6 linked regions of the Macaca mulatta genome follow. The protein of the gene in region 4 interacts with the protein of the main gene of each other region in a pairwise test. Links are inferred from orthologs where the notes say so. Each region holds a gene or a part of one and is shown on either strand. Other genes may lie near its edges.

What was found.
Region 1: the proteins of TRIM39 (region 4) and PLCD4 interact in a two-hybrid assay, tested with the Homo sapiens proteins (2 studies listed by BioGRID and IntAct). The two-hybrid records come from large-scale screens. The link is inferred for Macaca mulatta from reciprocal best matches to the Homo sapiens genes TRIM39 and PLCD4.
Region 2: the proteins of TRIM39 (region 4) and UBTD2 interact in a two-hybrid assay, tested with the Homo sapiens proteins (2 studies listed by BioGRID and IntAct). The link is inferred for Macaca mulatta from reciprocal best matches to the Homo sapiens genes TRIM39 and UBTD2.
Region 3: the proteins of TRIM39 (region 4) and UBE2K interact in binary tests that used the Homo sapiens proteins (3 or more experiments, as listed by UniProt). The link is inferred for Macaca mulatta from reciprocal best matches to the Homo sapiens genes TRIM39 and UBE2K.
Region 5: the proteins of TRIM39 (region 4) and UBTD1 interact in binary tests that used the Homo sapiens proteins (3 or more experiments, as listed by UniProt). The two-hybrid records come from large-scale screens. The link is inferred for Macaca mulatta from reciprocal best matches to the Homo sapiens genes TRIM39 and UBTD1.
Region 6: the proteins of TRIM39 (region 4) and MED18 interact in binary tests that used the Homo sapiens proteins (3 or more experiments, as listed by UniProt). The two-hybrid records come from large-scale screens. The link is inferred for Macaca mulatta from reciprocal best matches to the Homo sapiens genes TRIM39 and MED18.

Annotation. Positions count from the first base shown.
Region 1 is NC_133417.1:123,853,485-123,858,043, forward strand, and holds part of PLCD4 (1-phosphatidylinositol 4,5-bisphosphate phosphodiesterase delta-4), read left to right. Parts: intron 1-2,874; 5' UTR 2,875-2,907; coding exon 2,908-2,929; intron 2,930-3,065; coding exon 3,066-3,224; intron 3,225-4,559. UniProt on the Homo sapiens protein: Hydrolyzes the phosphatidylinositol 4,5-bisphosphate (PIP2) to generate 2 second messenger molecules diacylglycerol (DAG) and inositol 1,4,5-trisphosphate (IP3).
Region 2 is NC_133411.1:181,147,711-181,152,803, reverse strand, and holds the start of UBTD2 (ubiquitin domain-containing protein 2), read left to right. Parts: upstream 1-1,860; 5' UTR 1,861-1,973; coding exon 1,974-2,043; intron 2,044-5,093.
Region 3 is NC_133410.1:38,909,462-38,914,706, forward strand, and holds the start of UBE2K (ubiquitin-conjugating enzyme E2 K), read left to right. Parts: upstream 1-1,873; 5' UTR 1,874-1,922; coding exon 1,923-1,985; intron 1,986-5,245. UniProt on the Homo sapiens protein: Accepts ubiquitin from the E1 complex and catalyzes its covalent attachment to other proteins. In vitro, in the presence or in the absence of BRCA1-BARD1 E3 ubiquitin-protein ligase complex, catalyzes the synthesis of 'Lys-48'-linked polyubiquitin chains.
Region 4 is NC_133409.1:152,701,045-152,706,369, reverse strand, and holds the start of TRIM39 (E3 ubiquitin-protein ligase TRIM39), read left to right. Parts: upstream 1-1,968; 5' UTR 1,969-2,551; exon of another isoform or gene 2,552-3,121; intron 3,122-3,206; exon of another isoform or gene 3,207-3,251; intron 3,252-4,454; exon of another isoform or gene 4,455-4,474; 5' UTR 4,475-4,608; intron 4,609-4,879; 5' UTR 4,880-4,886; coding exon 4,887-5,325.
Region 5 is NC_133414.1:109,547,939-109,553,085, reverse strand, and holds the start of UBTD1 (ubiquitin domain-containing protein 1), read right to left. Parts: upstream 3,525-5,147; 5' UTR 3,206-3,524; coding exon 3,136-3,205; intron 1-3,135. Other genes in the region: MMS19 nucleotide excision repair protein homolog, read left to right, coding at 4,038-4,149. UniProt on the Homo sapiens protein: May be involved in the regulation of cellular senescence through a positive feedback loop with TP53. Is a TP53 downstream target gene that increases the stability of TP53 protein by promoting the ubiquitination and degradation of MDM2.
Region 6 is NC_133406.1:212,600,916-212,606,171, forward strand, and holds the start of MED18 (mediator of RNA polymerase II transcription subunit 18), read right to left. Parts: upstream 3,560-5,256; 5' UTR 2,622-3,559; coding exon 2,559-2,621; intron 2,340-2,558; coding exon 2,201-2,339; intron 1-2,200. UniProt on the Homo sapiens protein: Component of the Mediator complex, a coactivator involved in the regulated transcription of nearly all RNA polymerase II-dependent genes.

The sequences.
Region 1 (4,559 bases), on a different chromosome or scaffold from region 4:
GCCTGGGCAACAGAGCTAGACTCCATCTCAAAAAAAAAAAAAAAAAAAATTTTAAACTTTTAAATTAAGGAACATGGCCGGGCAAGGTGGCTCGTACATGTCATTCCAGCACTTTGGGAGGTCAAGGCGGGCAGATCACCTGAGGTCAGGTGTTTGAGACCAGCCTGGCCAACATGGTGAAACCCCATCTCTATTAAAGATATAAAAAATTAGCTGGGTGTGGTGATGGGCACCTGTAATCCCAGCTACTTAGGAGGCTGAGGCGGGAGAGTCGCTTGAACCCGGGAGGTGGAGGTTGCAACGAGCCAAGATTGTGCCATTGCACTCCAGCCTGGGCAATAAGAGCAAAACTCTGTCTCAAAAAAAAGAAAAAATAAAAAAAAAGGAACATAACATTTTTCAGGTAGTGATACCCTTTTAAAAAAAGAAACACACAACATATTTCTATTCAAATGTAGGTTATTTGCTTACACAAAAGCATAGAGCTTTACATTTTATGAGATTTGTCAGTTTCAGCATGACCTGAATTTTGGTTTTTGGTTTTTGTTTTTTTTGAGACAGTCTTGCTCTGTCGCCCAGGCTGGAGCTCCGTGGTGTAATCTCAGCTCACTGCAGCCTCAACCTCCTGGACTCAAGCGAGCCTCCCACCTCAGCCTCCCAAGTAGCTGGGACCACAGGTGTATACCACCACACTTGGCTAATTTTTAAAAATTCTTTGTAGAGATGGAGGTCTCACTATGTTGTCCATGCTGGTCTTGAACTTCTGGGCCCAAGCAATCCTCCCTCTTCAACCTCTCAAAGTGCTGGGATTACAGTCTGAGCCACTGTGCCCAACCAAGAATTGAATATTTCTATAGGGGCATAACTAGAATCAGCGTGGCCACAATCAAATTTTCTAGTCCTTTTCAAGGGAAGTTTGTTGTCAGCTACTAGGACAACTTAACCAGGTCCTATATTTCACAGCATATATCTTTTTTTTCTTTTTCTTTTTTTTTTTTTCTTTTTTTTGAGACAGAGTCTTGCTCTGTCACCCAGGCTGGAGTGCAGTGGCATGATCTCAGCTCACTGCAACCTCCACCTCCCAGGTTCAAGCAATTCTCCTGCCTCAGCCTCCCGAGTACCTGGGACTACAGGCGCCCGCCACCACGCCTGCCTAATTTTTTGTATTTTTAGTGGAGACGGGGTTTCACCGTGTTAGCCAGGATGGTCTCGATCTCCTGACCTTGTGATCCACCCGCCTCGGCCTCCCAAAGTGCTGAGATTACAGGCGTGAGCCACCGCGCCCGGCCCTAACTGGTTTTTTTCTTCTTTTTATTGAGACGGAGTCTCACTGTGTCGCCCAGGCTGGAGTGCATGGCACGATCTTGGCTCACTGCCAACCTCTGCCACCTGGTTCAAGCAATTCTCCTGCCTCAGCCTCCCAAGTAGCTGGGATTAAAGGTGCCTGCCACCACGCCTGGCTAAGTTTTTTGTATTTCTAGTAGAGATGGGGTTTTGCCATGTTGGCCAGGCTGGTCTCAAACTCCTGACCTCTGGTGATCCGCTAGCCTCGGCCTCCCAAATTGCTGGGATTACAGGCATGAGCCACCGCACCTGGCTGACAGCATATATCTTATAAGAGGTACCCTTTTTTGGTAGGTAGAGAAAATTTGAAAATGTGTTTCTGAGACTTGTATAACTTATTTGGTCCATTAAAACTGTGAGAATAGGGGCCGGGCGCGGTGGCTCAAGCCTGTAATCCCAGCACTTTGGGAGGCCGAGACGGGTGGATCACGAGGTCAGGAGATTGAGACCATCCTGGCTAACCCAGTGAAACCCCGTCTCTACTAAAAAAATACAAAAAAACTAGCCGGGCGAGGTGGCGGGTGCCTGTAGTCCCAGCTACTCGGGAGGCTGAGGCAGGAGAATGGCGTGAACCCGGGAGGCGGAGCTTGCAGTGAGCTGAGATCCGGCCACTGCACTCCAACCTGGGCGACAGAGTGAGACTCCATCTCAAAAAAAACAAAAACAAAAACAAAAAAAACTGTGAGAATAACTGTAAAGAAAAAGTATAAAATATGCTTTACCATGTGAAGGTAGAAGAAGACAACTAAATATTGTCAAAGAGAAAAAAGAAAGTCTGGCCAGGTGTAGTAGCTCACACCTGTAATCCCAGCACTTTGGGAGGCCAAGGTGGGTGGATCACGAGGTCAGGAGATTGAGACCATCCTGGCTAACGTGGTGAAACCCCATCTCTACTAAAAGTACAAAAAATTAGCCAGGCGTGGCGGCACATGCCTGTAGTCCTAGCTAATTGGGAGACCGAGGCAGGAGAATCACTTGAACCCGGGAGTTGCAGTGAGCTGAGATCGCACCACTGCACTCCAGCCTGGGCAACAGAGCGACACTCCATCTCAAAAAAAAAAAAAAAAAAAGTCTGCGCTAGTCGCCTCAGGAGCTGGACAGTCTACGTGGGAGCATAGAGAGGGCTCCCAGAATAGGGAAGCTGGAAGGATTCTACCTGGAAATAAGAAGGCTAGGATGTGAAGAGATTCTAGTTTCTGAAAGGGACATCCAACAAGATGTTAGTTCCTAATAATGAGAGGGTGGGGAGTGAGCAAAATGTGGCACTAGTAGACTGTGGGTTATTGGGTAGGAAGGGGGTGCTTGGTGGACTCTTTGGTTTAGCCTTCTCTGAAGATAGCCATGAGAAATAGCGGAGGCTCTGGGATCAGACATATCTTGATTTAAATTCTGATCCTTATGTGATTTGAGGCAGGTTTCTAGACCTATCTAAAGTCTCAGAGTCACTAAACTCAAAATCAGAAGCAAAAATCAGCTACAGACTATCTTTAAGATTCACCCAGAGTCCTTTGCTCTTCCTTTCTCCTTTAGGTGATCTGGTGCCAGCCGGTGGAACAGTGGGTGATGGCATCCCTGCTGCAAGACCGTGAGTGTCCCTGCAGGGGAAAAGGGCTTAGCATATAGCTCAGGGAAGGGAAGGAGGCTGGACCCCTGTTTGAGAGCTTTCCCTGGGCCTGCTACCCTCTCTGCTGGCTACCTAACCCCTGCTTTTCCTGACCTAGGGCTGACCACTGATCAGGACTTGCTGCTGATGCAGGAAGGCATGCCGATGCGCAAGGTGAGGTCCAAAAGCTGGAAGAAGCTAAGATACTTCAGACTTCAGAATGACGGCATGACAGTCTGGCATGCACGGCAGGCCAGGGGCAGTGCCAAGCCCAGCTGTGAGTGACCTGGATAGTGGGGGGTGGATATATGGGTGGATAGAGTCCTGAGGAGCCTGGCAGGGGAGGGACCAAAGTCCTATGATGGTGTGCGTTTGTGCTGTCCTAATTGTGGCTATATCTGAGCCTGTAAAAAGAGATCATAACACTACTTGCCTCATAAGGCTGTAATGAGGATTAAATTAGTTATTCTATCTAAAAGGCTCAGGAGAGTACTGGAACATAGTAAAACATAATAAATCATTGGTTACATCTTGTTATTATTATTATAAGACCATCATCTTGGGCATCAGCCTGCCTGAATTAAAGCCCTAGCTCTGCCACTTTCTGAGTAGCTGTGGAAAATCAAGTAGTTAAGCTATGGCTGGGCCTGGTGGCTCAATGCCTGTAATCCCAGCAATTTGGGAGGTCGAGGCAGGGGGACTGCTTGAGACCAGAAGTTCAAGACCAGCCTGGATAACATAGGGAGAGCCTGTCTCTATAAAAAATAAAAATAAAAAATTAGCCAGGTGTGGTGCTGTACGCCTGTGGTCTCAGCTATTTGGGAGGCTAAGATGGCAGGATCACTTGAGCCCAGGAGGTTGAGACTGCAGTGAGCTGTGATCACACCACTGCACTCCACCTGGGTGAGTGAGACCCTGTCTCTAAAAAAATACATGTATACATACATACATACATACATACATCAAGCTTCAGTTTCCTCATCTGTAAAATGGGGATTAAACAGTAGGTTACAAGGACTCAATTAGTTAACATGTAAAACACTTAGCATGCGATGTAAAACCAGAATGCATTTAATAAATGTTAGCCATCATGATAAATATTTTTAAATACAAAATTGCAGCCAGGTGTGGTGGATCATGCCTGTAATCCCAGCACTTTGGGAGGCCGAGGCAGGCAGGTCACTTGAGGTCAGGAGTTTGAGACCAGCCTGGCCAACATGGTGAAAACCCATCTCTACTAAAAATACAAAAATTAGCCGGGCTTGGTGGCAGGCACCTGTAGTCCCAGCTACTCGGAAGGCTGAGGCCAGAGAATCGCTTGAACCCAGGAGGCAGAGGTTACAGTGAGCCTAGATTGTGCCATTGCACTCCAGCCTGGGTGACAAGAGCAAAACTTGGTCTCAAAAAACAAAATAAAACAAAAAACAAAACAAAGTAGTGTGCACTTATTGGCCGAACTCTTTATAATAACAGGAAATAATTTGATCACAGGACACATCTAAGAGAGTCTGTTTTAGAGACAAATTGCTCACAATCCGTACCACCCCCAGCTGAGGTAAGAGGGTGAAAGAATTTCTCTGATTCCCTCGTAGACATCTGGAAAGAGGAAGCC
Region 2 (5,093 bases), on a different chromosome or scaffold from region 4:
CAATCTCCTTGCAAATATTCAGCATGCAGCTTCTCTTCAGGGAAGTGATGGAGTGATGCGTCTGCCAACGTGTATACTCAGTTGAAAATGATCAGATAGAAGGCTTTGTGACACAGCCCCTGATGTCAGAGCAACCTCTGAAAACTCATAAAAACATCGGTTGCATAAGCTCTTTTTGGAATGTTCAGGACCACAACTGAGGACAATACTAATTCTTCAGGATGAGTTTAATGTAGCAGATTTCTACATCTCACGACATTTCTGTGTTTTAACCTAAGTGTAGGTTTTGTTTGTCTAATGTCTGATTATCAAATGAATACGGAGATCTAAATCTTTGTATAATATCTTGGTCTATTTCTGTGAGCTAGATTCCCAGATGTGGAATAATCCCGAGTCAAAGGATATGAACATTTTTAAGGCTCTTGATCTGCATTGCCAAATTGCTTTGCAAAAAAGATTGAACCAATTTACACTCCCACCAGCAGTGTATGAGAATATATTTAAATGCAAATCCCAAGCTGCAGAACATCTCTTTCTTAGGTATTTCAACTTAAAATTTTTTTTTTCGTGCTAAGCAAAAGCTGACCCAGGATGTTAAAAAAAGAAAGTCTGACATAAAAATGGAGCAGATAGTTAAAACAGCTTCTTAGGCAGAAATAAGCTTTCGAAAGGCCCAAGCAGGATGATAAAAATTTTAAGGCATCATAGCACGAAGCACAATTCTAAAGGGACCATTAACAGTTTGGCTGAGATTGGAAAAGTAACCGCCAAGAATGCTGGGCGTGGTCAATGTCCCAAATTCTAGATTAGAAAAAGCAGGGTGTTTCACTCATTTACACTTCACTTTCGCCTAAGGACGATTTAAGATACCCAAAGGCAGGATCTTGATAAGTAGTATTGTTTGAATCAGTAATCCCGTGAAAATGAAAGAAATCCACGCCCCCTGAACTAAGGTCAGCGTTTATCTCTTCTTTCCAGGCGTTCCATCAGGACGCCTCGCCTCTAATCTCAGTTCGGTTTGCCACAACTACCGCCTCCACCCCTAATAATGGGGTCCCATGATTTTAGGGAAGACACGGGTGGGCAGGCAAGAGGAAGCCCAGATTCGGGGTACCAACCCACAGAGCGCCATATAAATTCAAAAGGTGCTGGGACCTCAACGTTCGGCCCCCCGAGCCCGTTATTTGGGAAACCGCCCCGTCCCCGCCTGCGAGTCTTCCACGACTACTTCTCGGTTCCCCCGTGCTACCCGCTTCCACCGGCAAGAAGAAACCGACGGCCGAGGAGCCAGGAACTCGATTTCGCCCCTTCCCACTCCTCTTTTCTCACTTTTGTTCGGCTTTTCCTGCTTTCCCTCCCTTCTCTCCTTTCTTCGCGTCCTCCCTCTCTCCTCCTCCCCTCGCCTCCAGTCCTCCCCCCACTGAGCCCCCTGCGTCCCCTCCCCCGCCTCACCCTCGCACCGCTCCACCCGCAGCCCCGCCCTCAGCCAATCAGAGCGCGGCCTCCAGGGGCCCCGCCCTTCCCCGGCGATTCCGGGCGGGCCGGGCCGAGCCCAGGCCGTGGGTGCGGAGGGCGGCGCCGCGGGGCGGGGGCCGATGGGTCCTGGCGGACGGGAGGCGCCGGCGCGGGGCTCGCCTGGACGCGGGTGTGCGGGGCTGTGAGGGGGCGAGGCGGGCGCTGCGGCCCGCCCGGGATGGGCCAGCCCTGGCCTGGCGGGGCTGAGCCGAAGGCGAGGGCGGCGCGCGGGCCAGGCCTGCCGAGCGGGCGGCCCAGGGGCTGAGGTAGAAGTGGGCGCGGAGGAAGGGGCCGAGCCAAGGCGGTGGGTGGAGCGGCGAGGGGGGCGGAGGCTGGGCCGCGGCGGGCGAGCGGAGCGGCGCGCCTGTCCGGAGCTCGGCGGTGGCGCCGGAGGAGGCTGCGGCGGCGGCGGCCCGGACGAGCGTCCGGAGGTGGCGGACGAGGCGCCGGGGGCCCCCATGGGCGGGTGTGTGGGCGCCCAGCACGACTCCTCGGGCAGCCTCAACGAGAACTCGGAGGGCACCGGAGGTAGGTGAGCGCCAGGGGGCAGCCTCGGCCCCCCATTGTTCCCGGCCAGGCCCGGCCACCTGTCCCGACCCCCGCGGGCCCCGCCGGGCTCCCGTGCCCCTTTGTCATCCCCTCTTCCACGTCATTCCCCGCGCTCCGCTTCCGGCTGCCCTGCCGGCCGCGGGGATCGCCCCTTCCCGCCCCAGCTGCGAAGAAAAGTCCTCTGAGCGCCGGGGACGTAGCCCTCGGCCTCGCCGATCGCTCCGCTCGGCTCGGGGAAGTCGGACCCGAAGCTGCCCTTCTGGCCACCTCACTCCCTCTCCAGCCCGTTTAATTATTGAGAAACAGGATGGCGGCGCCGGGGTTGCGGAAAAGCAAATTGATGGCGGGGGGAGGGAGCTTGATGCGTTCCCTCCAACGGGCCCCGCCACATCTTTCCGCACCCTTCCTTGTTCAGTGGAGTTGGCTGGTCTCAGCTTTCCTGAGTTTCAGATGACAGCTGCCCCGGTTGGTTCCAAATTGGCCATTTAAACCCGCGAGTTTCTGGAGCTCGGCTGGGGGAGACTCCAGTGGCCGCAGGCATTGTATTAAGGAGGGGAGGGGAAACGGTCTTCCCGGGTAAAACGTGGCTTCTTGCTAGAGCTTGGGGGTGTTAGGCCGGTGTGCTGTCGGGGTGGGCTAATCAAATTCCCATCTGGCTTACGTAGAAGGAAAATTATGCAGGATAAAAGTACAAATGCAGTTGGACTCTGACTTACCCCAGTAAGATTAGTACTTTAAAAGTTTTCTAACACGGGAACGCACATCTACTTTATAGTAAAGGCGTGCTGAGGATAGGTATTTTAATTCAATCAGTAGTAGTTGTAGTATGGCAGTATAATAATAAAATTAGTTCTACCTTTATTTGACCTTTGGTTACGTCCATTCTGTAAAATATTTTAGTTATAAACAGCCTTTAGGCAAAGATGATAGCGTTGGTTTGATTTTTGACCTAATGTTAGCCGCCTTAAAATGTGCATGTTTGTAAATTTTTAAATTGTTTGGGTGTGGGAGGGTTTACAACTGTTTCTTAGCATACTGACATTTAGACCAGTTGCTTGCCATGTCACTTAAGCTCTCTTCACAAACCATGTACACCTAAGTTTTTTGACTGATGGATTTCCTGGCTTCCATGATGGTTAGCCATGCCACTTTATTAAAATCTATGGGTATCCTGTATGGCTAAATCCTGGGTAAATAACTTGAGAACTCAGTGAAAGTTGTCTTGAAAAAGTCCATGAAAATGCTACTTTATAGTGTATTTTATGTCGTAGCATTATTACTGGCACATTGAGACCCTCAGTGACAACAAAGCAGGAAGATAAAAAGGGCATGATTTAAAACAGCCTTGGGTTAAGGTCAAATTGGGGGTCAAAATGAATCTTCCTCTAGTTGTGGTGGTCATTAATGGTTCTGAAATATATTAGTATTTGTTATAGCTAGTGTTTGGTTTTAATTAAATTTTTTTCACACTCATTTTAATATTGTCGTAAGCATTTTGTTCTTCTCGGTAATGCATGTGGATTAATTTATTTAAGCCTTTTGGTAGTGTGACTTATGACCAGACAGGCATTATTAATATGGGCTTTAAAAAGCGTGAAATCTTAGCTTTGGGTAATTTATTACCAGTGGTATCCAGTTAGATAGCTATAGTATCAGTTTCTTTGAGGACTGAGTTCTCTGGACCATAAGCTGTGCTATACATAAAGTTTAGAAAAAGGAACATCAGCCACCAAACGTCTTTGTATTCTTTTGGAGAGAGTGCATGGGCCCTGATGTAACTGGGGTTGGGGAAGAGGCTCTTGGGCTAAAGGATTATTTCTGGAATTTGATTATGGACACTTTTATTCTCCATTATTGTCGTGATAATTAAGAGTTAATTGTGGTTTAGTGAAATTAACTCAGGTGTGTTGCAGGTTAACATATAAAAAAATTATTGCTTATTAAGTAGATTGTTGGGAAGGGAAAGACTTTTTCCTGAGGGTGTTGGCACAGATCCCTAGCTTTTCAAACATACTGTGGTAGTGAGTGAGGTTTGGGGGGGTTGTGGGGAGCTTGGTTTGGTTTCTCCAGACAGGTTCTTGCTTTGTCGCCCAAGCTGGAGTGCAGTGGCACAATCACAGCTCACTGCAGCCTTGACCTCCCTGGTACAAGTGATCCTTGTACCTCAGCCCCCCGAGTAACTAGGACCATGAGGTGCATTCCACCACACCCGGCTTATTTTCTTAAAATTTTTAGTAGAGGCGGGTTTTGCCGTGTTTTTAATCTGAATGTATTTGGTTATGAAAATTGTTGTATCAACATGGAGTCTTCACATGCTTCTTATAACGGGTTTAAACTTTTCATGACAGGTTTAATTACATTCACCAACCAGGCGGGGTGGCTCAGGCCTGTAATCCCAGCACTTTGGGATGCTGAGGCGGGAGGATTGCTTGAGCCCAGGAGTTGGAGACCAGCCCAGGCAACATAGTGAGACTCTGTCTTTAAAAAAATAAACAAAATAATTACATTCACAGGGTTTTGCAAACATCACCATTTTGGAATAGCTTGACCCTTTCTAAATATCAGCCAGCCTTAGTAAGAAAAAGATTTTTAAAAAAGTCTTTTGACCATTTGAAATACTATACTTTCCTTTTTCCCTCTGAATCCATCTCTTATGTATGCAAGTAATTATGTATATATCAATAAAAGCTTCCTCACTAGGTGTATTACTTCTTTGAAGGAGTTTGGGAGATTTTTATAAGAGACTGTAGAATGTGGAAGTGGCTTAATTCACATTCTAGGCTTTGCATTATCTGCTGTTTTGGAATTAATTGTTGTATTTTCCTCTGGCGTATACCTTGCCTAAAATTTAGTTTTTGAGCTCCAGCTACTTAGGCTTTTTTTAAATAAAAAAAAAAACTTTTATTTTTATATTTTGTTATTGAGATAGGGTCTTGCTCTGTCACCCAGGTTGAAGTACTGTGGCATGATTATAGATTACTGCAGCCTTGAACTCTTGGGCACAGGCAGTCCTCTGGTCTCAGCCACTT
Region 3 (5,245 bases), on a different chromosome or scaffold from region 4:
TCGCCCGGCTAGTTTTTTGGATTTTTTAGTGGAGACGGGGTTTCACCGTGTTAGCCAGGATGGTCTCGAGCTCCTGACCTCGTGATCCGCCCGTCTCGGCCTCCCAAAGTGCTGGGATTACAGGCTTGAGCCACCGCGCCCGGCCTTTGTGATATTTTTATAATAGATATTTTACTGATTGGCTAGGTGAAGGAAGTGCATGAAGTATAAACTTCTAAAATGACACCCTTATTACTTGTTCCAAAATGTTCTATTCAAAATGTTTCTCAGTACCAAACCATTATTACTATGCACCTTAGAAACCACTTCCTTTTCTAAAAATTATTATCTTTAGAGATAGGATTTCACCATGGGGCTCAGGCTGGTCTCCAACTCCTGGGCTCAAGTGATCTGCCCCGACTAGGTCTCCCAAAGTGCTGGGATTACAGGCATAAGCCACCGCGCCCGACCAGAAACCACTTTCAAACTTACTTTCTACTTAAAATATTTTATACTTTTTGTTTTGTATTGTTTGAGACATAAACTTGCTCTGTGGCCCAGGCTGTATGTAGTGCAGTAGCGCGATCTCGCTCACTGCAACCTGCGCCCCCCAGGTTCAAGCGATTTTCCTGCCTCAGCCTCCAGAATAGCCGGGATTACAGGCGCCTGCCACCACACCTGTCTGATTTTTGTATTTTTAGTAGAGACGGGGTTTCACTATGTTGGCCAGGCTGGTCTCGGACTCCTGACTGCAAGTGATCCGCCGCGCCAGCAAAAGCGTTTTACTCTTATCTGTACTCATTTACACATTCAATATTTATAGAGTGCCTACTATCACCAAGCACCTTTGTAGGCCTAGGTTTACAGAAATAAGGCTCCCCCTCCCCCATCCCAGTCCCCTGAAGGGCACTATAATTTCTATTTCTCCAGTTTTCAATTTAATATATATGAATTTTCACACGCTTCAGTTCAGTGGTTCTCATAGTGTGGTCCCCGAACCAGCACCAACAGCAGCAGCAACTGGGAGACTTGTTAGAAACGCAGTCTTAGGCCCGCTCCACACTCTAGGGATGGGCACAGGAGTGTGTGTGTGTGTGGTGTGTGTGTGTGACAGAGAGTGTGTGTGTGTCAAGCTCGGTATTAAATAGGTCAAAGATCAACATCTGACTTGTAAACCCACCCTCAGGCCTCTCCACCGAGTACCTGTCTCAAACCCAATCTGATCCAACAATAACCAGCCTTAATTCGATAATCTGTGCTACCTGAGATGATGGGAATAATCGTGGTACTATAAATGTTGCAGAACAAAAACGACTGCAGTGGATTTTCTGGGGCTACACCAACTGAAAATGGGCCGGACCGAGATCCGCGAGAGCGTTTTCCTGCGCTAGACACGGCGTTCAGCCTCCGGGTTCCGGGTCTAGCTGAGTCAGGGCGGCGTTCCAGCCGAGTGCGGCTTCGGGAACCCGTTCGGCTGCGCGCGAACCTTCGGTCAGAGGCCAGCGCTGGAAGCCCCGACCACAGCACCTGGGTTTAAACAGGAGCGGAGGCGCCGGGTAGGACCGGGCGGGCAGGCTACGGCCGGCCACCTTGGAAGCCGCGCCCTAGCGGCCCCAGACGCCGGCAGGGCGGAGCCACGCGGCCGCAGCCCCAGCCGAGACGCGAGCTCGTGGCTCGGGCGTATGGGGGCTACAACGGGAGCGGCTGCGCCGCCCGGCCGGGTCAGCGTCGTGCGCATGCGCCGACCCGGCGCCATTTTGGTGGCCGGGCGCGGAGGTGATTCCACACTGAGGCGAGCGCGGCGGCCGGGGTGGTAGTGGCAGTGTTCGTGTGCTCGGGTCTGAATCGCCGGGGGAGGAGGCGGTGGAGGAAGAGGTGGCGGCGGTGGCGGTGGTCGTAGCGGTGGCGGAGGAGGCGGGTACGAATCAGCTGCGGGCGGAGACATGGCCAACATCGCGGTGCAGCGAATCAAGCGGGAGTTCAAGGAGGTGCTGAAGAGCGAGGAGGTCAGAAATGAACTCCCGGATATCCCCCATCTCTGCCTGGAGCGGGAGGGTCCTCCCAGCTGCGACCCCGATATCCTCGGTAGTCCCTGGGTGGCCCTCCTTGCGGCCGCCCTTCTGCCTGTGAGGAAGCAGCAGTGTTCCCCTCCTCCTTCCGCCGCCTTCCCCTCCCCTCCCAGAGCGCTAGGATGAACGGTCTCGCGGGCGGGTGGTCTGGGGTGGAACACGGTTTGGGGAGCTGATGGACAGGGGGGAGCTCCTCGGAGGGATGGAAGCTCACGAGAGAACCCGAGGCGGTGGCCACAGCTGGAAATGTGGCTGTGGGGTGGGGAGGGAGCAGGCCGAGCCTGAGAAAACCCGGGAAGTGGGTTGGGGGAAGGGGAAAGGTGGTAACTGGATACGAAGAGCAGTGCTGCTCAAAGGCCCACACTTTTGAGGGTATTTGGGGTTATTGCTTGTCAGGCCTTCACTGTTCTTTTCGTAGGGGAGGAGCGGTGAGTCCAAAGGTATTGATTAGAAAGGAAGGACATTCAGAGTTAGTCCTTCTTAGTTGGGTGTTAGGAGTCAAAGGGAGACATAATAGAATACTGTCTTATTTGGTGGCGGGGGTAAGGGAATTTTCACCTGAGTTAGCAAGTTATTCCAAACGAGATAATTATGTCTTCCACTTAACCCCCAAATTCGTAGGCCTCATTTTTATTGACATCACAATCTTTTTTGAGTGGGCAAAGGCGAGGTGTTTGGTGTATTAAAGACATGTAAATATTTTTAGTTAGGAAAAAAATAATGGGTTGTATGAGTAGTTTATTTCAAAATATTGTTTACAAGTTACCGATCAGACTGTCCTAAGACAGTGCCTCTGTGACTCGTGTTGTGCCACGAAACTTCATTATGATGTCCCTCATAGGTAACTTGATTCTTACTTTTGAAAAGTAGACCTATTAAAAATGTGAGATTTCACCAGATTAATACATTATTTCATCTCCTTATTGAGTAGATTTATCACGACTTAACAGATTTTCAAAAAAATTGCCTGCCATTGCTCTTAAGTTCTGCAGAATTTATATACATTAGTACTACGTTTATGTAAGATATTCACAATGCTCTAGTAATTTGACTCAAAATTATGCAAGTATTAGTACAGTGTGTCGTACCAAGATGAACAAGAATGCCAGATTGTCTTCCCCACATGAATTAAACAAAAAGTAATACAGAAAATGATTATTTTCAAGATTCACATACCATTATTGAATATATCATTGCTATTTTTGTTTTTCTTTTACGGTTAGTACTTTGATAGTGTCAATAATGATTTGTGAAATTCAGCATTCTAAATATGTGATGAGTATACATGGAGAAAAATTATTTAAAATTCAAAAATGACAACAGACTTATTGAAAGTAGTAGTATGTAAGTCATGATCGGTTTTACAGAGCATGTGTATGAACTCTGACCTCTGTGTTCATATGCCAAAACTCTGAATGGAAGGATGACTTTGTATTTTGTGGTACAGCGCAGAAATAGAGTCAATAAGTGTCTGTACTGATACAGTGAAACAGCAATTTTAACTTATTTAATATGAAAATGTATTCCAGGTTAGCTGACATACATACTCCTAATGAAAGATAGCAGCTAATATTGTTGCCAACAACCTAAAACATTTCTTGTTTAATAAGGTTGTACAAGCCTGAAACTTAATAGACTTTTAGTGCTTTATTTTCTGTTACAAGTGGTAAGTTACTGCTTTGGTAATTAATATGGTCTCTTTGCTTTTTATGAGCTCACTTTTCACTGTGAGATTCGTAGTACTTAAGTTGAAGATTACCAGAAATACTTGTATTGCTCTCTAGTAATGCATATTGTTAAAACAAACAAACAAACAAACAAAAAAACACTGCTCTTTATACATAAGGGATGAGGAAGCCTTACTTCAGATAAGCATCAAAAGTGTTTCAGAAGAAGAAAACAGGAAATGCAGACAGGTTTTTTGTTTGTTTTGTGTTGTTTAGAACAGTACCTGTATAAATATGGAAGGAAACTTCTTTTGGGAAAATCAGTTGCAAAGAACATTTAGGAAAGAGTCACATCATTTAATCTTGCAATAAATATAACCAATAAATAGCTTATTTTCGCCAGTATTTTTTGATATTTTAGTAGCCCCAGTTCTATAAGTGGATTATTTTCAACTCATTGAAGACTTGTAGTATAGTCCGTGTGTTTCCTTTTTAAGGGTGTAAATCCAGTCTTTTGAATGGCTGATCAAATAAATATTTCATCATGTCACTTTTTTGGTAAATCTGCACTTTACCAAAATTTATTTCATGTGCTTGTATGCTTGCGTTTACTAAGAACACTGGTTGATTTAAGGACTTTTTGGGGTGGCCTTGTAAGTGCCTTTGTAAAGATAGCTGACGCTTACTGGATTCTGGTTATGAGAGATTATAAGTGACCATTCTTAGAGTGTGTTAATTAAAATACAGCCAACAAGATAAATGTGAAAAGCAAGATGCAGAATAGTGTGGAAGAAGCCACCATTTGTGTTAAAAAGAGGGGAATATGTGTATTTGTCTTTATAGGCAAAAGGTTTCACAAGAAATTGGTAAAATTGATTGCTTTCTGTGTAGAAAAATTGGGTCTCTGGGGCATGGGGTATAGATATTTTTTTAATTTTGTGTCATACGAATGTGATTTACTCAAAGGCACCAGTTGGCCTCTTTCCCTTCAGACAGTGTTTGGAAATTTGTCAGATGTTTCTTTTTATTTATTAATATTTATTTTCTTTGTTTTAGATGTTTGTTTTTAAATACGAGTGTGAATTTTAAGCAGTTTTAAATAATATTCCAAAGTTGTTAGGCATGGAATATTGATGTAAAGTACGTTTTATAATTTATGAGTAGGATTACATTTTATAATTTATGAGTAGGATTACATTAGTAAATTGTTTATTGTGAGGATATAAACCCATAATCAATGTTTTATTCATAGGTTGTATTATTTACTATTAGTTATTGCTGCTGTTAATAACTAGTTGTCATTTGTAGAATGGCTAGTTGTTCTTAGTGTTGTTTGTTTATACGTTATTGCTAATTCTTAAGAATAGTTCTTTAGATTTTCTATTTCCTAGATGAGAAAAATAGAGATTTAGAGAAGTTAAATTATTTGTTTGCAAACACAGAGCCTGGGATTTGGATCTAGGTCAGCTTGTGTTCATATTGTACCACGCTGTCATGACTTGCCAAGGATAGGCATGCTTTTAATTAACT
Region 4 (5,325 bases):
TCTCGGCTCACTGCAACCTCTGACTCCTGCGTTCAAGCGATTCTCACGCCTCAGCCTCCCAAGCAGCTGGGATTACAGGTGCGCGCCACACGCCCGGATAATTTTTGTATTTTTAGTAGAGACAGCGTTTCGCTATGTTGGCCAGGCTGGTCTCAAACTCCTGACCTCAGGTGATCCACCCGCCTCGGCCTCCCAAAGTGCTAGGATTACAGGCGTGAGCCACCGCGCCCAGCCTTCATTTAGTATTGTCTAATGATGTTTTCATACTCCAAGAAGAAAGTTCAGTATGGACCACAAAGCCAAAAAGATGTCCTCTCTGGCTCTACAGCAAAGATTTGCCAAGCCCTGTTATATGTCATACTATTTGCGCTTCATAATTTTATAGTTTTACCTAGGCAGTCTCCATTTTTTCCTTCCATATTCAGCGTAAAATCCCCGTTTTTTTTTTTTTTTTGGAGACGGAGTCTCGCTCTGTCGCCCAGGCTGGAGTGCAGTGGCCGGATCTCAGCTCACTGCAAGCTCCGCCTTCCGGGTTTACGCCATTCTCCTGCCTCAGCCTCCCGAGTAGCTGGGACTACAGGCGCCCGCCACCTCGCCCGGCTAGTTTTTTTGTATTTTTTAGTAGAGACGGGGTTTCACTGTGTTAGCCAGGATGGTCTCGATCTCCTGACCTCGTGATCCGCCCGTCTCGGCCTCCCAAAGTGCTGGGATTACAGGCTTGAGCCACCGCGCCCGGCCCGTAAAATCCCCTTAATATCAGTCTCTAGGAAAGCTCATTCTTCATAATCCTTAGAATTGGACCTCCTCTTGTTAATTTCCTTAGTCTAATCACAATCCTCCTGGTTATTTACAAACCGAACGCCAGAAAGGAGGGTTATCAACATCTTATGCGCCACAAATTAACAAATCAAAACCAAATCTCACTCTCCCTCCGAAGCCAAGGCTAAGGAGGCTCACCGCCCAGTTAGTGGCTTTCAAACTACCCTTACAAGTGAGGCATCTTGTGAATTAGAACAACTGCTGCTGCTAAAATCCCTAATGGCTACATAGCAATGTGAAAAAAAGGTATCAAATGTAATTTTCTCAAATTTAATCCTCTTCAATTGTTGGCACAAAAAAAGGAATAATAAAGGTAGACAACTGTAATTAGCATGTGTGATCCCAAATCTTTATACCTTAGATACTGGATATTTTCTACAAGTAAATAGTTTCTGGCTCCCAAGATGAGAGGTTAAATAATGCAGGGTGTTTGTAAACAGCAGCACAACTTACACCGGAAATTAGGGCACTTTCTCACCAAGGAGAGTACATCAAAATTTGCTCATCTCTTTCAATCAATGTTCTCCAGGACTAGTGCTGGGGGCGGGGAGGCGGAGCAAGCTATCTTTTCTACCAGCCGTGTCACACCCCTCCTAGCACTAACCCCTCCTCCTCAGCCTCTTCACACCTCTACCCACTACTAACCCCTCCCCAGCCCCATCACCGCTTCCCGGGCCCCTGACACCTCTCCCAGCATACTCTTCCTGGCCTCATCACCTCACCCACTTCCTCCAAAATCACAGGACCTGCTAAGCTTCCAGCAGCAAGCGAGCAAAGCAGGGAGGCTGTAATGTAAAAGTCCGCAGTCCCTACACAAACACTATCTGCTCCTGCGGAGAAACTCAAGTCACAGCCCCAGAAGAAAGAACAGGCCTGGGCTCTCACCCAGTTAACCAGCGTTTATCCAGCGCACGTGTTGCGGTCGGACCCCATGCGAAGGAGCTAAGGACACAAAGGTGAGCAGCAGAGTCGCGGTTCCAGCTCTCTCCCGGCTCCCACTCCAGCGGGGTAGGTAGATAATTTCGGTAAACTTCGCCAAGCAGGGGCAGGACAAAGAGTATTTGAAGTCTACCCGGGGGAGAACTTACCTAATCCTTGAATGTTAAAAGGCTAAAACTCCACCAGTCGGAAGTGACGTGCCAGCTGAGCCCCGCAGGTCCGCCACGTAATTGGCCGCCGCCACAGCTAGCCACCCTCTCCCCGGACTGGCCCGAAGAGAGGAAAAGTGTGGAAGTCCACAAGCCGCCCTCGCCCCGCCCTCTTCGTCGACTTTCAGCTGCACTGGGGAGCGGCGGCGCCTGGCCAGAGCCGGGGCCTGGAGCCTGGACGGGACAGCCTCGCCGGCCGGGGCGCCCGTCCAGCGCCCTGCGGGCCATGGGCTTCAGCGCTCGAGCACGCGCATGCGCGGGCCTCTATCTCCAGAGGATTCCTCGGGTCACCTGGACGCCAGCATCTCAGCCACCTGCCCCTCTGGGTCCCTTCTTGTCCTTGATTCCTCCTGCTGGTTCTCATCGCCAGCCCTCCTCCACCTCCTCCTTCCGCAGCCACCGCTAGACCCGGCCGCTGCTGCCTGCCGACACCCCAGCTTCCACTGACACGAGCCTCGGCGCGGCTTCCGCTTCCGGCGAGTATTGTGTGTCGCGCCGCGGGGCGGGGGCGAGGGGAGGAGGAAGGAGGGAGGCAGCGCTCCGGCGGCTCCGCGCCCCGCACTCCCGGACCCGAAGCCGGGAAGGTAGGTGCTGTCCCGCCGCCGCGCCCGAGTCTGGGGCCTGCCCCCGCCGGCCGGCTCCGCAAGTCGCGTCCCAGCGCCCCGCGACTGCGTCACCGGCCCCCCGCACGTAACCACAGCTGCCTCCGCCCGCCTCGGGCCCGGGCGGACGTTTTGCCGCCCCGGCGACGTCAGCGCGTCCGGCGTTGCTTGGCTACCCCGCCGTTCCCCCGTCCCGCTGCTGCTCACCTCCCCGGGTGAAACTCTGACGCAGTCACCGCGGGTCTCGGCTGCGTCATAGCGGCGGGCATCCCACCTTCACGTCACACCTCTTCCTCACCTGGACACGCATCCCTCCCTACCCTGCCAGCAACGACGTTTCCTCTTTCCCCTCTCCAATCCCCCTGCCCCAGATCTGGCGGAAGAAAATGGAGACGGGGGTGGGACAGAGTTGTGGACAACCTCTCAGGACAGGGTCGCAAGGTGGGACCCTGAACAGTGGTTTAAACAAAATGAGATCGTCCCTGAAGTTTGCCCTTCAGCTGAGACACAAGGAGTAGAGGGAGACGAAGGACTAACCCAGAGGCACTCAAGGTCTCACTATGACTGTAGTTTAGAGTCCTCTCCATTCTTCCCGAACCCTTTCCCCATTTCTTTCACCACTTCTTTGCCAGTCTAGATCTGTCCTGGTGCCTTACTGTGCATACAGTTCTACTCATCTCAGGTGAGGAGGCCACCTAATTTGTAAAAGACTGAGGAAGGGGTAGGGTCACCACAAGTCAAAGTTGGATTTCCACAGGTAGAGAGAAATCATCTGATTGAACTTCTCTCCTATTGCTGACAGAAAAAATTCAAGTCCAAAGAAGTTATCAGCTCCTACTCCAAACACATTTGTGTGTGCCAACAATATATACAGGAACAATTGTTGTTAACCTACCTCATTACATGGCCACTTATCTCTCAGCACATAGATTTACCAAATTTCCTTCCTTCCAGTAGGTCCCTAGAGAAGGATGGGGGTCAGGAGGAGAAAGGGTTATGGGGATAGATACATCAACTTACCCATGGCTAAAAGTATCGACGTTTTAAGATGGAGTGGGGGACCAGCGTTGTGTTTTATAAATCTCTCTTATGCATTTCCAATTCTTCTGAGGCTGCACTTGAGGGAGATCTCATTGCCTCTTTTCTGTCTCTTAATTCCCAACCACTCCAGAACCTGTTAGTTGGAGACACAGTATGCCCAGGATGTTAGTTATCAATAGTTATATTGAAGGATTCCAGTCACTATAAATAGACTTGTTTCTTTACAAGAAGTTGTTGGCCTGAGCTCAGTAATGTACTATTTAATATAGTTGCCATAATTTATCAGTTTTCAGCAGTTCTGAGTGTCCAAATGAACACAATAGAAATGGAATGTTGCATGAAATATGTTATTCCAAGAAGAGAGCAGACTTCCTTTAGGCTAGTCTGATGGATAAAAGGAAGAATAATTTCAGATTTTCCTGGAAAGAGAAGGTTGCCTTTGCTTCATTCATTCCATTTGTTAGCCTTTAGAACACTGGTATCTAACCTTTTGAATGGGAGGACTCTTTTTACTTATCTGTGGTGGCTGATAAAACAAAAATTATGCATGGACCTTTTGTGGTGGCTGATAGAACAAAAGTTATGCATGGACTTCTTTTTTTTTTAGCTTATCAGCTGTCATTAGTGTCAATGTATTTTATGTCTGGCCCAAGATACTTTTTTTTCCAATGGGCCCAGGGAAGCCAAAAGATTGGATACTGTGGTTTAGAAGAATGAGAGAACAGTGTCAGAGAATCAAGCTTAGACTCCAGTGGATTCATCATAAAGCCCTTATAACATTAAACTTTAAAATATGCTTAATTTAAGAAATGTTAATATTTTTATGACATTTTTTACTTCTCAGATTCCTTTCTTATCTATTAGAAACGTATGTCAAACGAGGATACAGTGGTCTGGAACTATTGGTTCTAAGATACAAGTGGAATGAACCTGGATCAGGAGAAGTATGCTGAGCTAGAGTTGAAGGAAGCTGCTCTTTCTAACAAGAGAAAGCAGAGGTAAGAGACAAGATAGATAAATTGGGGGTTGTGTGTCAGTTTACTAACAAGAAAAAAAGGTTAATGGCTGGGAGTCACAAGTTTTGGAAATGGAGAAACAAAGAGATTGAATTGATTGAAAGAGAAGATGGAGAATAACAAGATTGGGCAAATCTGGAGTTAGGACTTAACAGGGATAAATGTTGGGCCAGGGATGCAAAAAAAAAAAAAAAAAAAAAAAACACCTCCAATTAATATTTTTATTTTTTCTGTCCTCTTCCCCACTCCCAAGTTAAATTATGGCAGAGACAAGTCTGTTAGAGGCTGGGGCCTCTGCAGCCTCTACAGCTGCGGCTTTGGAGAACTTACAGGTGGAGGCAAGCTGCTCTGTGTGCCTGGAGTATCTGAAGGAACCTGTCATCATTGAGTGTGGGCACAACTTCTGCAAAGCTTGCATCACCCGCTGGTGGGAAGACCTAGAGAGGGACTTCCCTTGTCCTGTCTGTCGAAAGACATCCCGCTACCGCAGTCTCCGACCTAATCGGCAACTAGGCAGTATGGTGGAAATTGCCAAGCAGCTCCAGGCCGTCAAGCGGAAGATCCGGGATGAGAGCCTCTGCCCCCAACACCATGAGGCCCTCAGCCTTTTCTGTTATGAGGACCAGGAGGCTGTATGCTTAATCTGTGCAATTTCCCACACCCACCGGGCCCACACCGTTGTGCCACTGGATGACGCTA
Region 5 (5,147 bases), on a different chromosome or scaffold from region 4:
GTGGCACTGGGGGAGTTTTAGGCATTAGTCTTATAACATAAAACTATGTCCTTGTCAAAGGAAAAGCCACAGATGTTACAGGAATGCCAGGTGCACTGTGGAGTTAAGAAGGATTCCTCGCCTTGTACCAAATTTGTCATCTACAGAGTTCCCCTCGGCTTTGGACTTTATGAATAAAGCTATTCATAGTAGGACACACAGAACTAAAGCAATGATAAACTAGCAGGTAAAAAAAAATGCAGATATATGAAAAATGCAGATGGTAGGATAAAGTTGAGTTAGCTTTCTAAAATCAACAAATACTGAGTGCTACCTCTGTACAACTCATTGTGTTAAGTGCTGAATGTGTGTGCGTGAGGCTATATGAGTGAGACATATACACAAGGATAAGACAGAACCCAGGTCTTCGAGGCTTGCAATGTAGTTGCTGATAAAAGACTGTAAACATCAAAGACACAACTAATAATACGGAGTACATAATTGTTAAGTAAGTGGCATAGATAATGTGTCTGCAGGAGTTCTCAGAAGGAGCAATCACTTCCACCGGGTGTGTGTGGTGGGGTGCGGAGGGAGGGGGAAATGGCAGACTTGTCAGGCAAGGTGCTTCAAACAAGACACGGCACTTGAAGTGAACCCAAGGGATGAAACACTCTCAATAAGAAGGAAATGGCACGAGCAAACACTGGTGGTCTTAATGTCAGAGAAGGGAAAGAAATTAGGACTTAAAAGGAACGGCCTTGACAGTTAAAGTACTTGTAGGAGTGGGAAAGTGCAGAAAGGTGTTTGTTGTTGTTGTTGTTGTTTTGGGTTTTTTTGAGATGGAGTCTCGCTCTGTCACCCAGGCTGGAGTGCAGTGGCGCAATCTGGGCTCACTACAACCTCTGCCTTCCAGTTCAAGCAATTCTCCCTGCCTCAGCCTCCTGAGCAGCTGGGATTACCGGCGCCTGCCACCACGCCTGGCTAATTTTTATATTTTTAGTAGAGACAGGGTTTTGCCATGTTGGCCAGGCTGGTCTCCAACTCCTGACCTCAGGTGATCTGCCTGCCTTGGCCTCCCAAAGTGCTGGATTACAGGTGTGAGCCACCATGCCTGGCCAAGTACAGAAATATTTTGAACACAGAACTATAAAATCTGGAAGAAGTTATTTTAGCAAATGTCTTCTGAGGGGACAACTCTGTGTAGGACTGGATAATGACTGAAGATGAAGTTGCCTTTGGGGGGTACCTCACTTCAGCCTGAGACAAGGGTTGACTTGAGGTGAGAAGGGTATGAAGTGGGGTGGCAAGGGACAGGTTCGCAAGACCTGCGGAAGGAAGAGCCAGCAGACCCCAGGGACTGGCTGGCTTCGAGGCAGGTGACAAGGAAGCAGAGAAAGTCATGAGAGAGAGAGCTCTTCACAGCCTAAAGTTAGGCAGCTGGAAGAACATGAGTAAAGAAGGAAAGCTGCTGGACAGGGAACAATACAGAGCCTGATTTTGGAAGTGTCAAATCTGGGAATATCTATATCGCAGTGTCCAGTGGCCATCTAGAGATGGGGTTCTGGGGTTCAAGAGAGAAGAGCTGAAGATTAAGCATAGGGGTCTTCCCAATGGACAAAGAGTTGTGAGACTAAACAAGATTTCTCTGGGAGGGAGTGTAATGAGAGAAAAAACAGAATGTCAAACTGAAGCACCAGTGCGCCCCCCACCTAGAAGGTGATGGTGGAAAGGGGTGTTTAGAATGGAAAACCAAGACAGTCTGATGCCAAGAAAGGAAGGGGGAGAATGTCTCATGGGAGAGAGTTGTCAACAGCAAAAAATGCTGCTAAATCAATTATGGGGACTGAACACATATTTGTTGAACAAATGAATGAATGAAAGCAAGCCAGTCCTTGGTTTTGAGTCATCTCTCCTCAGTCAGAAGAATGGGCAGAGTTACCTTCAGACAAAAGAATTTCAATAAGTTTTACTCCATCCTTCCCATAAAAACACATTTCTTCCTCCACAAGTCATCCTGTCCACCACGCAGACATCCTTCCCTGCTTCCCCTGGTTCCCTCATCTTCCTTCCCAGTTTCCGCAACCCAAGCAACACACCTTCGGTGTCAAGGGAGACAGGAAACTCCAACTAGAGTTTCCACTTCATTAACAACTCTGCCTGTGGCTCCTCTTACATAAGGGGATATGTGGCAATGGGGTGGGAGAGGAGGCTGAGTTCTAGCCCCAGCTGTGCTCCTAACTAGCTGTGTGACTTTGGACAAGGTGCTCAACCTCTTGGGATCTGGGCTTTGACATGGAGAGGAGGACAAAGATCCATCTGGAATCCAGATAAGTTTTGAAGGTCCCTTTGAGCTCTCAAGTCTACGATTTTATTCCCAGCAGGTCCTTGCAACACCCTCAAAGAAGGAAGTGAGTGTAAGACCCAGAAAAATGACCTACAGACCTCTTTCCGGGGCGAAATGCCAGGGCAGGCGGGGTGTACCATGAAAGTGAGAAAGCGTTGTCCCGGCCTCGAGAATCACCAGCGAGCGATCTCACTCCCACAGCTAGGAAGGATCCCAACAATTCCGAGGGTGAATCTCACCCCGCACCCCATCTTTTATAGACTCCCAGACGACCGAGAGGCTCTAAAAACCCCTGCGGGAAAAATAAAGATTTCTTTCCCAGAGTCCTGCGCTGCTTTGCAAGTCGGATTCCGGCAGACACGATCTGCAGCCCGATAATGACACAGTCTTTGGAAGGAGCGACTGTTCTCGCCCCGCTCGCTCCAAGTTCTGGGGACGCCTGGCTGCCCGCGCCGTGCCCCGACGGGCCGGTGTCCGACCCCGGCCGGAGCTGCCAGGCCAGCGGCGCCCTCGCCCCGGGCCCTCCCCCCAATCCGTCGGCCCCGCTGCGGTCTGCAAACATTTCCTGCCCCCACCCCCACCAGGAGCTTCCCAGTTGGAGAGAGTTGGTCGCGCAGCCGGCTCAGTGCTCGCAGTTGCCCCAACTCAGCTCGCCCGGCGCTGGGGAGCGGCCCCGTCTGGTTGCGGAGCAGGCTATCGGGGAAACCCAAGCGCCAGCACCAGTGGGGAGTCTATCGGTAAGCCTAGAGCTCGGGCGAGGAGGGGGACAACTGGCGGGGTGCCCGAGGCCCTGCTCCCTTCCCCGTCGTTACCTGCTCGCTTGCGGGGGTGTCCCGGGGCTGCCGGCCTCTCCCGCCGCTGTCTCCCCACGCAGTTGCCCATGCTGGCTCCTCAGCCAGTCCCCATGCACCGGAGGCGGCGAGGTGGTCGGCTGCTCCGCGCTCCTGCCCCGGACGGCGGCGTCCCGGGTCAACGGCTCCGGCCGCCCGGCATCTGGCGCTCCCCGATCTCCCCCCGGGGGCGCGCTCAGCCCCGGCGCTGGCTCCGCCAAAACTTTGCGGGCCAGGGGAGAGAGGGAGGTGGCAGACTCCCTAGCACAGTCCCAGGTGGCCGGGCCAGGGGGGCCCGCGACGGTGCCCGGCCGGAGACCAGCTCCGCTGGAGGGGCGGAGAGAGGGGGCGGGCACCGCCGCAGCTACTCCCGGTCGCTCGGGGCTCCAGGCAGGGGCCGGCCCCCTGGAGCCTGTCACTCACCTGCCTAACCCCGCCCCAGGCCGGCCCCGCTCCCCACCGCCGGCTCGCGGTGCCCGCGCCGCCGCCACCACCCGCCCCAGGTGCGCATGTGACCGACAGCACCGCCCCCTCGGGCTGGGCCTGATTTTCTCATTGGCTTCCCCCGTGGTGCGTACCGCCCCTCTCCCCACCCAGCCAGGTGCCCGCCCCGCCGCCCGTCTCCCGGGGAGCCGGGCCGGGAATTATTCGCCCTCAATGGCCTCCGGCTGCGTGCCCAGCAGCCGCCTTCCCTCTCGGTGCCGCCGCCCCATTCCAGGCCCCGCCCCTCCCTGGAACTGCCTGGCTAGAAGCCGGTAGGCACGTGACCCGGTGCGCCCCGCCCCCTTGGCCTTCTCCCCGCGATTGCCTCGGGAGGCGCATGCGCGGAGAGGCCCGTCTCTTGCCACCGCCCATATCCCCTCCCACGGTCTCTTGTTCGCGTCATGGCCGCCGCCGCGGCTCTGGAGGCGGCGGCGCCTACGGGCGCCCTATGGGGCCTCGTGCACGACTTCGTCATGGGTCAACAAGAGGGCCCCGCTGACCAGGTGGCTGCAGGTACGGCAGACGGCGCCGCGCGCCTTCCGCATGGGGGCCAACAGGAGGGAGCGGCCTCGGTACAGGCGCCGGGCGGGAAAGGAGGAGCGGGTGACTTTGAGAGATTGGTCTCAAGGCTGGTTAGTGAGCACCGCGAGCTTCAGAGCCGTAACAAGTTGGAGAGTTGCCTGTGTCTTCCTTAAAACCATTTACACTTTTCATCTCCCTATAGCCAATTATAGGGAATTATTACATTTTACAGATGAGGAAACTGAGGCTCAGCGAGGGCAAGAGGACTTGCGCAGGGCTGCAGACAAGGCAGGAGGGGGAGCTGGGACTCGGACCCAGGCGTTCACGTCCGAACCGGGTGCTCAAGCCACGAAGCCACGCTGTTTGTGGGAGGTTGACGTGTGGAGGTGCATCCTCGCAGCGTCCGCTCCCGTCGCGTGGCATCCTGGGAGTGGCGGATGGCCCCGCGCTCTGACTGGCTGGAATTAAGAGGAGGCGAGGAGTCGGGCCAGGAGGAGCTGGAGATGTTCTGGGTGTCCTCCTTAAGACTTTCTCTCCGTTTCTTGCCAAAGTTCTTGATTAGTTTGCTCCATGACGTTTTATGTGGCGTTTGTTTTTATCTTCTTCCCAGACCCCCACTTGCCTGCTTTTGACAAGTTCAGAGATCTCTTAGTTCAGACAGCTTATCTAAAATTAGAATAAAACAATTTCCAGGCTTCCGTGGAGTTCTGAGACTTTGCTCTTCTAGGAAAAAAAAGTCTACTAAAAAGTTATTGAATGTTAGGAAGGCTTCAGATCTTGGGTTTAAGTAACAATATAAAATTGTCTAATGGGTAGTTTAAAAAATTTTGGAAATTTCGCATGCTTGGAGAGAAGTAAGGACACATTTCTCTTGCAAACTGAGCGTATTAACCTTTAGAATGTGTAAGAAAAGAATAGTGAATCTGCTGGAAATAAAATACTTTGTTCGTTAGCAGTATTCCACTTTGATTCAGTCATGCCACTATTGT
Region 6 (5,256 bases), on a different chromosome or scaffold from region 4:
CCTGGTCTTTGCAAATAGCCTGTTTCTACCTTTGCCTTCTTCCTCTCTTCTCCACACAAAAGCCAAATGATCTATTATATTATTGGGCAGATAATAACACTCCTCTACTCAGAACACTCCAGTGGCTTCCTGTGTCACTCAGAATAAAAGCCAACGTCTAACACTTCTCTACTCAGAACACTCCAGTGGCTTCCTGTGTCACTCAGAATAAAAGCCAACGTCTTTACCATTGTTGACAAAGCCCTACATATTATGGTCTCTGCTACCTGCCAAACAACATCTCCTTCTATTCTTCCCCTTGATCATTATCTTCAGGAGTGACCTTCCTGCCAGACCCCTTCCCCTATTCTCTATGCTTAGGATGTTCTTCCGATCTGCATGTCTACTCTATCACTTTTATCAGGTCTGCTCAAGTGACTTTATCATCAGGGCCTTTTCTGATCACCCTAATAAAATAGTATGTGTCCTACCAATCTCTAGCCACTTTCCTGCTTTATTTTTATGGCATAGATTTGTTGTTGTTGTTGTTGTTGTTTAGATAGGGTCTCACTCTGTCTCCAGGCTATAGAGCAGTGGCGAGATTATAACTCTTTGCAGCCCCCATCTTGGGGGTTCAAGTGATCCTCCCACCTCAGCCTCCCAAGTAGTTCGGACTACAGGTACATACCACCATGCCCAGCTAAGTTTTCTTTATTTTTAGTAGAGGTGAGTTCTTGCTATGTTGTCCAGACTGATCCTGAATTCCTGAACTCAAGCAATACTGCAGCCTTAGCCTCCCAAACGACTGGAATTACAGTCATAAGCCTGTAATAGCTGGCTTGACATACATTATTTTTTAGTCATCTTTCTCCCTCCATGGCTATGGCTCAAATGTTTGGAACATATTCAGATACTTGTTGACAAAATCTGGCCTGGCGCAGTGGCTCACGCCTGTAATCCCAGCACTTTGGGAGACCAAGGCAGGTGGATCACCTGAGGTCAGGAGTTCAAGACCAGCCTGGCCAACGTGGAGAAACCCCGTCTCTACTAAAAATACAAACATTAGCTAGCCATGGTGGTTCACGCCTGTAACCCCGCTACTTAGGAGGCTGAGGCAGGAGAATTGCTTGAACCTGGGAGGTGGAGGCTGCAGTAAGCTGAGATTGCACCACTGTGCTCCATCCTGGGCAACAGAGTGAGAATCCATCTTAAAAAAAAAAAAAATCAGAGAAACAGGACCTAGAAAGATAGCTGCTGAGGGTTTGGCATAGAGGGGAGTGGGAATTAGTGTTTAAGGGGTAAAGAGTTGCAGTTTTATAGGATGATAAACAAGCATTTTAGGCTGGGCGTGGCGGCTCATCCCTGTAATCCTAGCACTTTGGGAGGCCAAGGCAAGTGTATCACTTGAAGGCAAGAGTTCAAGATCAGTTTGGCCAACATAATGAAACTGCAACTCTCTACTAAAAATACAAAAACTAGCCGGGCATGGTGATGCACGCCTGCAATCCCAGCTATTCGGGGGGCTGAAATACAAGAATCCACTGAACCGGGAAGTGGAGGTTGCATGAGCTGTTATCATGCCACTGCATTGCAGCCTGGGTGACCGATCGAGACTCTGTCTCAAAGAAAAAAACAGTTGTACTAAGTATTTTTTCAAGCTACTCACAATAAACCAAAGTTCTAAAGATCTGTTGTTCAGCAATGTTAATATACTTAACAATACTGAACAGTACACTTAAATATGTTAAGGTTTTTTTTTTTTTTGAGACAGAGTCTCGTTCTGTCGCCCAGGCTGGAGTGCAGTGTCGCGATCTCGGCTCACTGCAATCTCCGCCTCCCAGGCTTGCACCATTGTCCTGCCTCAGCCTCCCAAGTAGCTGGGACTACAGGCACCCGCCACCACGCCGGACTAATTTCTTTCTGTATTTTTAGTAGAGACGGGGTTTCACCGTGTTAGCCAGGATGGTCTCAATCTCCTGACCTCGTGATCCACCCGCCTCGGCTTCCCAAAGTGCTCGGATTACACGCGTGAGTCACTGCACCCAGCCAAGATGGCAGATTTAATATGTTTAGTGCATGTAAAACTGTAATTTAAAGTAACAGTTAAAAACATAGTTGGGTGCCAGAAACTGTGCAGGCTGCTTTTGTGTTGTCTCTCATCTTAAGGGAAGCTGAACAGAGAAGAGGAAAACAGGTAATCCAAGTTCCCTGGTTCACTTACCCTGCAATAGGTACTCCATCATGTTAATGGTGCCCCCAGTGACAGGCATCATGGTGACTGGAGGTGCCTCCATGGTGTCTAAGTTGAAGACAACACAACTGGACTCAGAGCCCCCAGTCAGGTAAGGCACGGGATATACCTGGAAAAGAGTTCACTTGTTTATACATCAGAGTAGTCGAGAGAGACCAAATCTGTTGTGGCACTGGCCTTCAAATCAAAAGATTCATTCATTTAAAAACATTTCAGTGTCTTACATGGCCAGTTCCAGGAACTGATGATACAGAAATATAAAAAGGAGATCTGGTCATGGAGTTACAGCATTGCCTTCTAGTCTCAAGTTCTGAAACCTCCAAGTTACCTGTGCAATCTTGAGAAAGTCCTGTCTATAACCCCTCACCCTGGGACTCAGTATCTTCCTCATAAAATGAGACCAGCAATTTTTTTTTTTTTTTTTTGAGACAGAGTTTCACTCTTGTCGCTCAGGCTGGAGTGCAATGGTGCAATCTCTGTTCACTGCAGCCTCCGCCTCCCAGGTTCAAGCGATTCTCCTGCCTCAGCTTCCCGAGTAGCTGGGATTACAGGCACCCACAACCATACCCGGCTAATTTTTTTTTACATTTTTAGTAGAGACAGAGTTTTGTCATGTTGGCCAGGTTGGCCTTGAACTCCTGGCCTCAGATGATCCTCAGGTGAGTCGGCCTCCCAAAGTGCTGGCATTATAGGCGTGAGCCACCACGCCCGGCCAAAGGCCAATGATTTTTAACTCCCAAGGTTATGTGGCTCAAACGAGATAATAAAGAGGCAACAAAATTCAGAAGAACTGAAAAGTGTCTTAAGGGACCTTCATTTTTATAGATGAGGACATTGAGACTCAGAGAGGGACAGGATACACACAGCAACTTGGTAGCAGAGTTGGGACCAAACTAGAATCTAGGCATTCCATCGCTCTGAAAATGCCTTTCCCCCATACCCTTTTCTTTTTTGGTGACAGGATCTCGCTCTGTAGCCCAGGATGGAGTGCAGTGGGGGAGTTCCTAGTTCACTATAACCTCGAACTCCTGGGCTCAAGCGATCCTCCCACCTCAGCCTCCCGAGTAGCTGGGACTACAGGAGGGAGAGTCACTGCGGCTAGCCTAAAAATGCCTTTTAAAGAGAGCCAAGGCCAGGCGCGGTTTCTCACACCTGTAATCCCAGCACTTTGGGAGGCCGAGGCCGGCGGATCAACCGGAGGTTGGGAGTTCGAGACCAGCCTGACCAACATTAAGAAACTCCGTCTCTACTAAAAATACAAAAAATTAGCTAGGCCTGGTGGCGAGCGCCTGCAATCCCAGCTACTCGGGAGGCTGACGCAGCAGAATCGCTTGAACCCGGAAGGCGAGGTTGTGGTGAGCTCAGATCGCGCCGTTGCACTCCAGCCTGTGCAACAAGAGCGAAACTCCGTCTCAAAAAAAAAGAGAGAGCCAAGAGGAAGTTATTTTAAAATGATGGTATATAGGTCCTTCTAAGCCAGCATCCACAACACGTGTCCACTTAAACACTAGAAGCACACCTCCTTGAGGCTCTAGTGTCTTCTCGAGAAGTCGGGAATTATATGCACCCGCGCACCTAGGAGCCTTTGAGCGACGATTAGATCCCAGTCCTCCGGTTACCGGAGCCCGGGAAGCCCCCAGACCGGTGGAACCAGCCAACTTCCTGCTCTTCTCACTTCCGGTCGGAAGCCGAAGTCTCACAAACCTCGAAACTGCCGTTCCCAAACGTATGGGTGCCGAGAAGGCCGAAGAGCGTCATTGCGGACAGACAATCAGAAGCGCATGCGCAAAATGCCGGGCTGCTGTAAGAAAGATGGCGGCCTCCTTTGGAGCTTTCCTCCGGGGTCTACCTGGCGCCTTGACGTCACAGGCCATCCTCTAGGAAAATATTTTTAGGTTTGACAACCTGGAGATGTATTTGTGCAGAAAGTCTCTTGGAACTGATAGGACTTACAGAGACTATAATGGGCTTAAAAAGAAAAATGAACTGAGGGCGCGGTGGCTCACGCCTGTAACCCCAGCACTTTGGGAGGCCGAGGCAGGTGGATCACTTGAGATCACGAGTTTGAGACCAGCCTGGCCAAGATGGTAAAACCCCGTCTCTATTAAAAATACAAAAATTAGCCGGACATGGTGGCACGCGCCTGTAATCGCAGTTACTAGGGAAGCTGAGGTGGGCGAATCGCTTGAACGTGGGAGGCAGAAGTTGCAGCGAACCGAGATCGCCCACTGCACTGTAGCCTGGGATACAGAGAGAGGCTCTGTCTCAAATAAATAAATAAATAAATAATAAATAAAAATTTAAAAGTCCGGAAAAGGAGTAGGTCCAGATCCAGGAGTACTCTGCAGTGCCAGACTAAAAGAACACGTGTGAGCTTTAAAAGAACCCTGGTTGCAACATGGAGAAAAGTTTGGGAAAGGAGAGAGCCTAGAGAAAAATGACCAGGCGGGACATGGTGGCTCAGGCCTGTAATCCCAGCACTTTGGGAGGCCAAGGCGGGCAGATAGCTTGAGCTCAGGAATTAAGACCAGCCTGAACAACATGGTGAAACCCTGTCTCTACAAAAAATACAAAAATTAACTGAACGTAGTGGCTTGTACCTGCAGTCCCAGCTACTTGGGAGGCTGAGGTGGGAGGATTGCTTGAGCCCAGGAGGCAGAGGTTGTGGTGAGCTGAGGTAGTGCCACTGCACTCCAGCCTGTGCAACAGAGGGAGATCCTGTCTGGAAAAAAATTAAAGAAAAAAGACCAGTTAGGCGCTTTAGTACAACTCCGGCTGAGAAACAACTGTCAGAAAAAGATTTTAAAAATGTAAAAGAGGAAATTAGCCGGGCATGGTGGAACACGCCTGTAGTCCCAGCTACTCAGGTGGCTGAGGCACCAAAATCGCTTGAACCCAGGAGGCGGAGGTTGCAGTGAGCCAACATCGTGCCACTGCACTCCAGCCTGGGCAACAGAGCAAGACTCTGTCCTAAAAAAAAAAATATATATATATATATATATATATATATATATATATATATATAT